Canis lupus familiaris: one gene and its partner. Each later gene encodes a partner of the first gene's protein in a complex. Links are inferred from orthologs where the notes say so. Each region holds a gene or a part of one and is shown on either strand. Other genes may lie near its edges.

Region 1 (5,433 bases):
CCTCCTAAAATGCATGAGTTATGAAATAATTATATATTTATATAATTTAAATGTACTTATGTAATTATAAAATAACCTGAAAAAAGACAGTACTTTAGAAACTACTGGGGAAAAAAATTAGATATTTCCAACATTGAATGAGTTGCATAAAGAAGCTTAAAGAAAACTTTGATATTTTTATTAAAGTGTCTCCTGAGCAAGGCTAATTCTTAAGAAAAGTAAACTAGAATATAGCCATTTTCAAATAGTAAGTACAAAAAGGTATATTCCAAGTCTAGAAAGCAATTCTGAAGCTTTTTCCTATTTTCCATGAATGTGCCTCTTCTCTTTCCACTTAGAAGAGATTAAGTAAAAGTCTGAAACAATGCTTAAGAATTATAATCAATAAGAAAGCTGGTAACAAAATTCAGATTTTTAAGTACTTGAATTGTTATCAGGATAATAAATAATTTTATCACCTATTAGGTTTTGTTTCTCTTTCTATTAGCAAATTCAGTTTCAATACACGAATGAGGCATTTTTAAATAACATATGATCCTCATCACCAAAGTAGTTTTTAAGAAGCTAATGATAATTCCTTTTGTGAGTAACTAAGCAACTTTGGTGTTTCTTTGAAAGATGCATTAAGGTACAATTTATTAACCTTCTCCAATAAAGCTCTGTAATATAGTGTGAGTTCTACCTGCCAGATAACGTGCTGGTATTAAAAGCTAACTGAACAACAGAGTGGACCTCAGCTACTATCATAATATAATTATTATACTTTTATTTTTTAAATGGTTTTTAACACTGTATAAATACAACTGTTTTATTTTAGTTATGGGTGGATTATTATTAGCATTATGCGTCATTTCTAAAGGCTAGGCCCTGACATATACATCCTAAATATTATATGAATAAAGCTTAATACCCTCACTAAACATTGTTCAATGTAAAGCTCTAATTTAGGATTAGGAGCTCTATTACTTTCTAGCAATAAGTCAGGCAACATCATACGGGCATAATGGAAGAGTTAAATCTTTAAACCTAGATTTATTATCAAATTAAATGATGGGAATGTTTAAAACTACACACTTTTTTTAAATGTAAGAAGAAAGAAATTGGATTTCTTTCAACTTTAAATCAAAATAAATTTCAGAAGTCAAAATCCACCAAAAGACATACATCAAACAATAGTTTTGTCACAAATCTAAATAAATTGTTGCAAAATACCCTGAAATTATTAACACCACTTCCCCTTGCTCTTGTTTAACTGCCACCACACATTCAAATACTCACATTCCACATATAATACTTAATAGCAATGCATTTTTAAAAGCTATTCTCCCACCCCCACATTTCTTTATCACCTTACCCCATTCTGTGCCATCTCCTGAACTCCGTGCTTCTCCAGCTCCTTCACCATCCTCAGCAGTCACTAAAAAATCAAATTCTTTCAGTGCTTCCTCAGTATCAGGATCATCTGTTAGGTCAGCAGCTAAACCTTCATTACCTATCTGTAAATGGAACATAAGCCAAGAATTACTTTTATCCTAGATTTTAAAGGGATCCTTTATATGTTTTCAGACAATTATCTTTATATTTGCACTCCCATTTTTACATTACTTACATATACAAAATTTTAGATTTTTCTACTTATTTCACCAATCCCAAATTACACTCTATATAAATGGTTCTTAACAGTGTCATGTGAAGATTACTGTAAGATGTGATGCAAGTAATGTGGTAGTAAAAAATGGTTAAGATACTATACTAATAAAAAATTAAGTTCTTTAATTATCATAGATTCACAATTACCCCTATTTATAGGCCTTTTCACTCACATTCTGGTACATTGTGTTAAACTGACTTCACTCACTGAGAACTGCATATGCAGTTAATAATTCACAAGGATATGGCATAGCTAATAAGGATTTTAACTGATCTTAAGTTAGTAGCTGTGATAATAACAGTGCTTTGCCTCCCAGGGGGAAAAAAAAAAAAGAGAGAGAGATGGATCAAAATCTCCATTCACCCATGCTACACACATGAAATGTGACAGAACACTGAAAACTGTTTTATAGCCTAGAAACTTTTCTTGACGAACAAGAACATTATTATAACATCCCAAGGAACAAAAACTTAACCTATGCACTCTTTTTAAAATACTTAAAATACTACACACTTTTTAAAATACTTGAAATACTATACACTACCATGATAATTCATAAATGGATCATCTAATCTGTGTATACTTTTATAACTAACCTACATCACTGATAAAATAGATAATCCAGTTTCTTAGGTTATGAACAGAAGTACATTTTTATTAATCCTTACCAAGAATGTGGACACATACATTTACAATCCACAGTTTACTCCCTCACCCAGAGTGGGAGTATCCCCATTGCAGCTTCACTTTATTACCTGTTTACTGAACATGAAGAGACAGACTTCAGCAGTAATTCTTAATTGTAGCAGGAGTGGAGAAGGGGTTCTGTTTTTTTTGTTTTTTTTTTTAAGTTTCAAATCACCAGACTAGTTCTATAAAAACCCCTTTTTGCTCTTTAGTGAATGATACAGCAAATAATAATTTCTACTATATGTGGATAATAATAACTGATAATACATAAAACTTTCAAGTGAGATGATAAAAAATAATCACTCTCAATGTAACTTAAGATATCTTGAAAATTTCTATTCCAAATACATGTGTATATTTGTTTTAGCTAATAAAAATTAAAACTTGAGTTCCTACTTTGTGTTTATTCAACCGATGTTTATCTTTTCCTTCTGGGATGCCTTCAATCATGTCATTTTCCTCTTCTTCATCACTGTCATCAGCATTTTCTAAAAAATTGAATGTCTCCAGAACATCACCAGAGGGCCTGTCAAAAGGGAAAAAGATGAATCCAAATATTCTAATAGTTAATTCTAACATTTCTTTCCGGTTCATATTTTAAAACAATACTTGAAAGTAGTATAGAGATTCCAATGACAATCTATTTATAATGCATTACCTAAGTATTTTATCCAAGAAAAGAATATTATGAAGAATATTTATGTTTTCTGAATAAAGTAAAAGTGATTGTTCCATTAAGTTTCTCCAATATTACTGACCAAAATACTTCGAGTAATTACTGTGTCAAAATCTTATAACAGACATTCAAATATGGTATTACATCTCAAAATGAAGCTATCATAAGCAAGAAACAAAAGCTTAGCATTTCTTATAGTTCTACAATCTCTTACAGCTTGGCCCAAATGTCTGAAGACTAAAATCTGCCCAGATTTAAAGTGGTGGGGTAAATCAGATATAAATATTCCAATAAACTTCACAGATTTTCTCACAGGATTCTTAATATACTAAAAAAATACTTCCAAGTCTCTCAAAACCATTCATTTAATAGGTAATAAAGTTATCTATTTTTATCTACCTATGAAGTCACTTTTTAAACTATAATCTACGTTCCCACTATATACAAATAAGAGGTTTTGAAATAGCTGTTTAAATGTCTAGTGACAAAAGAGAACAGGGGATCCTTGGGTAGCTCAGCAGTTTAGCGCCTGCCTTCGGCCCAGGGCATGATCCTGGAGTCCCGGGATCTAGTCCCACATTGGGCTCCCTGCATGGAGCCTGCTTCTCCCTCTGCCTGTGTCTCTGCCTCTCTCTCTCTCTCTGTGTCTCTCATGAATAAAAAAATAAAATCTTAAAAAACAAGAGAACAGTGGCAATTTCAGCCCAACACAGACTCTCACAATAAGTCTCTCTGCTCTTCCATTAACTAGATGATGGAATTTGGCCAAGTCACTTAGACCTTTTATCCTCAATTTCTTTACCTATAAACTGTTTGGGTTGAACTAGATCTTTTGGTACCAAAAAGAATAACAATCTAAAATTTGGAGCTTTCTCACCTCCCTGATTGTTTCTAAGGACACAATACAATTCAAATTCAGACTTTTTTTTTTTTTAAGCGAGGGGAGGGAGGGGCAGAGGGAGAGGGAAAGAGAGAATCTTAAGCAGGCTCCATGTCCAGTGAGGAACCCACCCCAATACAAGACTCAATTTCAGGACCCTGAGATCATGACCTGAGCAGAAATCAACAGAATACGTAGGCTCCTGGGTGGCTCATTTCACCCAGAGTCAGTGTCTGACTCTGGTATCAGCTTGGGTCATGATCTCAGGGTGGTGAGATCGAGCCCTGAGTCAGACTCCACATTAGTGTGGAATCTGTTTGGGATTCTCCCGTTCCCCCCCCCCCTCCCCCCGTGCATACGTGCTCTTGCTTTCTCTCTCAAATAAAATAAAATCTTACTAAAAAAAACAAACAAAAAAAGTCAGATGCTTAACTAAGCCACCCAGGCACCCCAATTCAGACTATTTTTTAACATAGCATAGGATTTTAATAGGTCTACTATACTCTGCCTAATCCAGCTCATTGTTTAAGGACCTGCATCAAAATGGAATGTACAAAGAGATGATTTTCCCAAATACAAATTACCACAACAACACAATGCACATTTTCCAGCTCAACATTTATAATATGTAATAACATCTGGGGATTAAAAGACTGGGCAGCCCGGATGGCTCAGCAGTTTAACGCCTGCCTTCAGCCCAGGGCATGATCCTGGAGTCCTGGGATCGAGTTCTACGTCAGGCTCCCTGCATGGAGCCTGCTTCTCCCTCTGCCTCTGTCTCTGCCCGCCCCCCCTCTCTGAGTCTCTCATGAATGAATGAATGAATAAATAGACAAAGATAATTGACAAAATTGGTACACTAATGACAGAAAAATAGAAAATAGTACATATAAGACATGATAATTCTGTTCTGAACTTCCACAAATAAAGTAGTGCTGTCCCTTGGCTAGAAATGTCTCTCTCTAAAGTGAAACTCATGTTTTAGGTTTTAAAATTTGTATTTAATCACAGCAATACACATGGATGGCTTTAAAAAACAAATAGAATACAATCCCTAAAAGACAATGATTCAGACATCCCAAAATTAAAGACTTTGTTCTTTGAAAGACACTGTTAACAGAATTTAAAGAAAAGCCTATGAATTGGGAGAGAATATTTGCAAGTCACATATTTGATGAAGATAACCTGTATTCAGAACATATAAAGAACACTTAAAGGGCTAACAATTAACAAAAAAATAAAAAATGGCAACATTATTCATACACTGTATCAAAAGATATGTGGATGGTATAAACTGATGCTCAACATCATTAGTCTTTAAAAAAATGAAAATTAAAGCCACCATGGATTATTAAAGGTCTGAGACTTTACCCTTTTTTCATGCTAACAGGCTGTTTCTTTTGAGATGCTTCTTTTTAGCACTCATGATGATGGCCTTTGTATGGATTTTTAAAAATAATTTTATAATGAATGAATTTTTATAATGAATAAAGAATTCTTTTAATCTAGAAACATCCTTGGAAATTAACATTCTGT
Region 2 (5,949 bases), on another chromosome or scaffold:
TAAGGGTGTAAAGCAAGTCTGTTTTACTTGTTTCTGTATTCCTGTCCCTAACAGAGTGCTAGAGGCGTGTGCATGAATGCACTCATTCATTCAATCATTTACTCACTTATTCAGCAAGTATTTACTGAAAACTAACTCCAGGCCAGATATGCGTTAGTGAGGTAAGGCACATGACAAACCAGAGGGCCTTACCTAGGGAGCTTATAGTCTAGTGAGGGAGAGACATTTATCAAACAAGTAAAAAAACAATTAAGTTCCTGTTGTGATGATGCTACAAAAAAGTTACAAAGCATGGTGAAGATATACTGGGAACTTACTATAGTAAGTTCTAGTTTCAGGAAGGAGGGGTCAAAGAAGGTCAGGAAAAGTTCCCCTGAGGAATGACATTTAAATGAGATCTGCAAATGAACTAGGAGTTGGTCAGATTTGGGAAGGGGAGAGGGTGCAGTCCCCAGGGAGATGGAACACAAAGAAAGGTTCCCAAATCAGGAAGGAACTTGCTATATAGTAACTGAAAGGTGCAGTAAATAAGAAAGGCTGGGGATAGGATGGAAAGCTGAAAAGGAGGCAAAGGATAAACTGCGAGCATTAAAAAGTAAGAAGGTAAGAGAATTTGAATATTTAAGTCATTTTAAGTCCTTTTCTCGTGTGAAATAAGTAATTTTAGGAACTGGGTCTTCATTCTATAACAGTAAGATCTACAGTCACAAGACCTGGATTATGCCTTAATCCCACCAGTCACTAGTTACATGACCTTACGTTTAACCAATCTGAACTACATACACTGTAAACAGGTACTCAATTATTTTAGCTACTGGGAATGCAGTAATACAGAGTCCTGTTCTCATGAACTTCTACCCTTAAAGACAGATGCACATGGGAAACATCCTAAGGCCTGTAAGAGATCCAAAAGCTGACACAAGGCTCCTGCAAAACCAAAACTGAGAACAAATGTGGATACTGGTGAACTACAAACTACTATAAAAATACAATTATACACATAACTCTGGGAACCCTAAATTCTTCAATGTGCTGAGATCTAAAGTGACCACAGGGTACCAGCCTGTGACTGAAAGATGATAAATACAATAAAAACCTTACTCCATCATTAAATATAGATGAATTATCCAAACTAGGATGGACCTCAGAGATGAAGAGTAATGATAGAACTGAACCCAGAACAAAAAAACTAGCATTAAATTAATTTTACTGGAGGATCCCTGGATGGCTCAGCGGTTTAACACCTGCCTATGGCTTAGGGTGTGATCCTGGAGACCCCGGATCGAGTCCCAAGTCGGGCTCCCTGCATGGAGCCTGCTTCTCCCTCTGCTTGTGTCTCTGCCTCTCTCTCTCTCTCTGTGTCTCTCATGAATAAATAAATAAAATCTTCTTTAAAAAAATAAATTAATTTTACTTATTTCCAAATTTTCCTGTAGTTCAAAAGCTCATTCCACAACCTCATAGCTGCATGCCAAAAGTTAGAGAACTCATTTCACACTTCCCTCAACAAAAAGGAAACACCTCCTGTGCTGTCTAGAAAACATGTTAACATTTTTGCTTTACCATCACTCACTCATGTTCAGTTTGAAGTCCATGTAAACTACCATTTCCGTCTATAACATAGCATGGAACCAGTTATCCCCACTGGTTCATTTGGTTAGTTGGTCTTCCTTCCTTGTGTACTGCATTACTCATGGTGCTACATTACTCTTATTCTTCCTACTTCTTTCTATAGGATCATATTCTACTTTTAAGGTCATACTAATTTCCAGACCATCTTAACTTCAGTCAAAGGGGAGCAATATGCAATATTACGATCCTAGAAAGTGTTTTTGCATTCAAAAGTCATACACTGTAGAACCTACGTTTGCAGAGTACATTCAAAAAGCAGCATATTTCAGTGGTCAACTTACATGACACTAAACCACGATTAACTACTAGCTATCAGTAGATACTGAATTACTGTATGTAAACAACACAAAGGAAATCCTCATGTCAAAAAACACACACCTAAGATTCTATGAAAGATAATATTCATAAGCTATGAATGGTCACACTAACAATTATAAAGGAGAAAACTGTGTTACAAGCATACTGCTCTCTGCTCAATAGAAAATATAAATGTGAGGCAGCCCAGGTGGCTCAGCGGTTTAGCGCCTGCCTTCAGCTCAGGGCGCGATGCTGGGGACCAGGGATCGAGTCCCACGTCCGACTGCCTGCATGGAGCCTGCTTCTCCCTCTGCCTGTGTCTCTGCCCCTCTCTCTCCTCTGTGTCTCTCATGAATAAATAAATAAAATCTTAAAAAAAATGTTTAAAAATAAAATGTAAATGTCCAATTTTTCCCATTCTTTAAATAGGATGAATTAAAAGTCATGGACTAAGCTAAGAAAAACTCACCAACACACTGGAGTCCAGAAAATGAGGGGGACAAGGAAACAGGAGTCAACAACAACAACAAAAAATGTGATGCTACTTCCAAGAAATGCAACGTACCCTCTTTTCTAGTAAAGGAGCACAGTCACCTCTCCTGATGCTTTGTGACTTGAACACAACGTAAAAAAAATAATAAAAAATAAGTCTTGTGAAAGAATTCCCACACTACCGCTGCCGGCTCTACTCAAGTGAGAGTAGCAACAGTCAGCCCTAAGGTAGGGAGGGAAAGCGGTGTATCTCTTAAATATGAGGATGGGATGTATTTTGACATTCTCCTAGGTCATTCTCTACCGTTTGAAATGTAGTCCATCGCTTAATACATCCGTAAGTCAGCTGCAACTCAGTCTTCTTTTTCAAAAAAAAAAAAAAAAAAAAAAAGTGTGTGTCCTTCCTTCATGGAGGAATTTCTCCAACTCAGAAAACACACACACACACACACACAAACTCTTCATCTCACAAAGGGCTCCTAAGAAAACCATAAAATGCGTTACTCTGCAATCTCCCCCTACTCACTTCAAAAAAACAAAACAAAACAAAACAAAAAAACACCCAACCTCCCTGCTCTTTCTGGTGAGTGGGCACCTCTGAGTCAGAAACTGGATTATATAGGGCAGCCCGGGTGGCTCAGCGGTTTGGCGCGGCCTTGAGCCCGGGGTGGGAACCTGGAGACCCGGGTTCGAGTCCCACGTCGGGCTCCCTGCGTGGAGCCTGCTTCTCCCTCTGCCTGTGTCTCTGCCTCTCTCTTTCTCTGTGTGTCTCTCTCATGCGTAAATAAATAAAAATCTTAAAAAAAAAAAAAGAAAAGAAAAAAGAAAGAAACTGGATTATGAGCGGCTTGGACTCAGACCTGTCCCCAGGTGTGTGACCTTGGGCATGTCGCCTGTCCCCTCGGCTTCTGGTCGGCGCCTGAGAACAGAGTCTCTGAAAGCACAAGGGGTGTAAAGGTACCTTGGGAACTGCCCCCCCCGGGGGTCAGAGGCAAGACCTGCCTCCGGAGAGGGGCCACGTCAGGGAACTGGACCTGAACCCGCAGAGCCCCGTCAGCCGACGGCGCACTCTTCCTCCCCAGAGGGCACAGCCGGGGTCACCCCGAGAGCCACTCCCCAGCGCCCCTCCCCGCCCCTCCTCCCCCAGCCGACCTGCAAGCGCAGGGCAGCAGCAGCAGCCACCTCTCCGCGCCCCAGGCCACACCTTCGGAGGACCCCACCCCAGGCACATCCGCCCGCTCCCTCCTCCCGGGGCACCCGAGGCCACGCTCGCCTCCCCCTCCCGCCCCCACCTGGAGGAGACTTCCTGGAGGCGTCCGGGCCCGAACCGGGCAGGCGGCGTCTACGAACCCGCTTTCCGCCGCTCGCGCCGGGGACCCTCGCTGACGCCCAGAGGGCCCCGCTCCCCGCCGCGTCCGCGCCGCCCGCCACAGCCCAGCCGACGGCCCCCGCGCGACCCCCGCGCGACCCCCGCCCTCTTCCGCGCCGCTCGGGGCTCCGCACCCCGGGACGGGGCGGCCACACCTTACCGGCAACTGAGGCACTGACTTCACTTCCCACCTTCGGAGCCCTCTTCAACTCCCGGATCAATTCACTCCGGCGACGCCGGAAGGACCCGAGAGGAACCAGGCGTTGTCCGGAATCCTGCCCGGCCGGAGTCGCGCAGGGGCCTTTCGGGACTTGTAGTCCCGCCAGCCGCCGTCGGCGGCCATTCCGACACGGGCCGGACTACGACTCCCGGCAGGCCGTGCGGTGGAGCCCAAGGCGATGGGTGGGGACAGCTCTAGCCAATAGCAGGAGAGTTCCCTGCCTTTGCGGGAGGAGGTGAGACGCGGAGAGAGGGTGTCGGAGAGGAGGAGGAAGGGCGGGGTCAGCCCTCACCTGCACCAATCAGGGTGCTGGGTCGGCCCTGCGGGCGGCTCACCCATTGTGGGGGCGGGCTGGCAGGGCCCAGGAAGGAAGGGGGTGCGGGGGGGAGGTCCTGAGGAGGGTAACGTGGGGCGGCTGAGCCGCGGACGCTGCACCGAGCGGGGAATCGCCGGGGTGGAGGGAGGGGAGGGGGGATGCGTCCAGGCCCGAGCAGCGGCTTCCCCGATCGCGGACGAGCCCCGGGCACGCCAGGCGGCGTCGGGAAGGGATCGGGTGAGCCTGGGCTTCTCGAGGAGGCGCCCGGGGCGGGGCAGGGCAGGAAGCAGCTGCAGGTGTGAGCCCGGCGCGGGGCGGGGGGGCCCGGGGAAGGGAAGCGGCCGAACAGCTGCAGAAGCGCAGGGAGCGGGGAGGCTCGGGCGCAGCCGCTTCCCGCCGCCGCCAGCCGGGGCGGCCGCAGGAGCAGCAGGGGGAGGAGCGACAGCCGCCGAATTCGCCAACTGGAGGAGCGGGAGGCGGAGCTTGGGTCCCTGTAGCAGCCCGAGGCGCAGGCTGGACTCTAGTTTCCCGGGAGAGCCCAGAGCAGGAGCTCGGGCGGAGCGGAGCGCGGTCCCGCGAGCATCGGCTCCAGCATCCCGCCAGGGGTTGCAGGTGTGTGGGAGGTAAGCGTGGGCGCCCCCTCCGCGCGGCCCGCGGCGCCCGGGAGACAGCGACTTCCAGGGGAATCCTCCGGGCGCAGCTAGGGTCTCCGACTCGGGGTAGGGACCCGGTGCGAACCCTCTTAGATGAAATCGGATGTGCATTTTGGACTTTGTAAGGGGGGGGGGGGGAAGCAAAAGGTGGCTTGATTCTGGGTATAAAGGGCGTGGTTAGTGGTCTTTGGTGTGAGTTATAGCATTAAAACTGTTCTGGGAGATGTTAAGATTGAGCGAAACCCTGCTAATTGAGGATGAGGTGGATGATATCTGGGTAGGTGCGCAGCTGGCAAAAAGAAAAAAAAAAAAGATTTTGTCATTGATACGGAATTACTTCAAAACTCTTGCACTAGGAAAATAACTTTGCATTTCTTCTTCAGTGTTTACCCTGTGCGTTGCTTTATCAGGTTGTCCTGCGACCGACCTGTTTTCCAGGGCGGTTTACCGCAGGTTCCCAAAATTGAAAGGGATTTGTATTAAGGAAGCAAATGCAGGCAGGAATAATCGAGATGACCAAACCTATCAGAAGTATAACTTTGCCCGCAATACCGTAAAACCGCTTTGATGGATGGATACTTAGCTTTCCTAACAGCGGCTCTAGGATGTTGGAACAAAGACTAGGACTCAGCCTACAGTGGGAACATATGGTGTACTTCATTGCCGCTCCTTATCCTCTCTTTTGGGGCTGGTAATTGTACATTTGGGGGAAAAAAAAAAAAAACTAAAGTACAGGAAAAAACTGTGTGAGGATCTTTCCTGTTTAGGGAGTGTGTGCTAAATGATTACCCCCAGTATGTGTTGTGACGGGTTTAGGCGTAAAACACATGTAATAGTATCATAAAATAGTAGTTTATTCTTAGTGTTAAACCATGTGCAATTTCTTCGAATGTTATCAAATACCTGTGGATGAAAATACGGTCTTAATACTAGGTATAGGTGAAAGTCACACCTCCCTTTGTGTAACTAT

Evidence for each region. The genes of interacting proteins can lie anywhere in the genome.
Region 2: STRN3 (region 1) and PDCD10 share a complex: the UniProt entries of both Homo sapiens proteins name them as parts of the core of STRIPAK complex. The link is inferred for Canis lupus familiaris from reciprocal best matches to the Homo sapiens genes STRN3 and PDCD10.

Annotation. Positions count from the first base shown.
Region 1 is NC_049229.1:10,405,486-10,410,918, forward strand, and holds part of STRN3 (striatin-3), read right to left. Parts: intron 2,868-5,433; coding exon 2,738-2,867; intron 1,497-2,737; coding exon 1,355-1,496; intron 1-1,354. UniProt on the Homo sapiens protein: Calmodulin-binding scaffolding protein which is the center of the striatin-interacting phosphatase and kinase (STRIPAK) complexes.
Region 2 is NC_049255.1:32,805,711-32,811,659, forward strand, and holds the start of PDCD10 (programmed cell death protein 10), read right to left. Parts: upstream 4,109-5,949; 5' UTR 3,951-4,108; intron 1-3,950. Other genes in the region: SERPINI1 (neuroserpin), read left to right, coding at 4,485-4,563. UniProt on the Homo sapiens protein: Promotes cell proliferation. Modulates apoptotic pathways. Increases mitogen-activated protein kinase activity and STK26 activity. Important for cell migration, and for normal structure and assembly of the Golgi complex.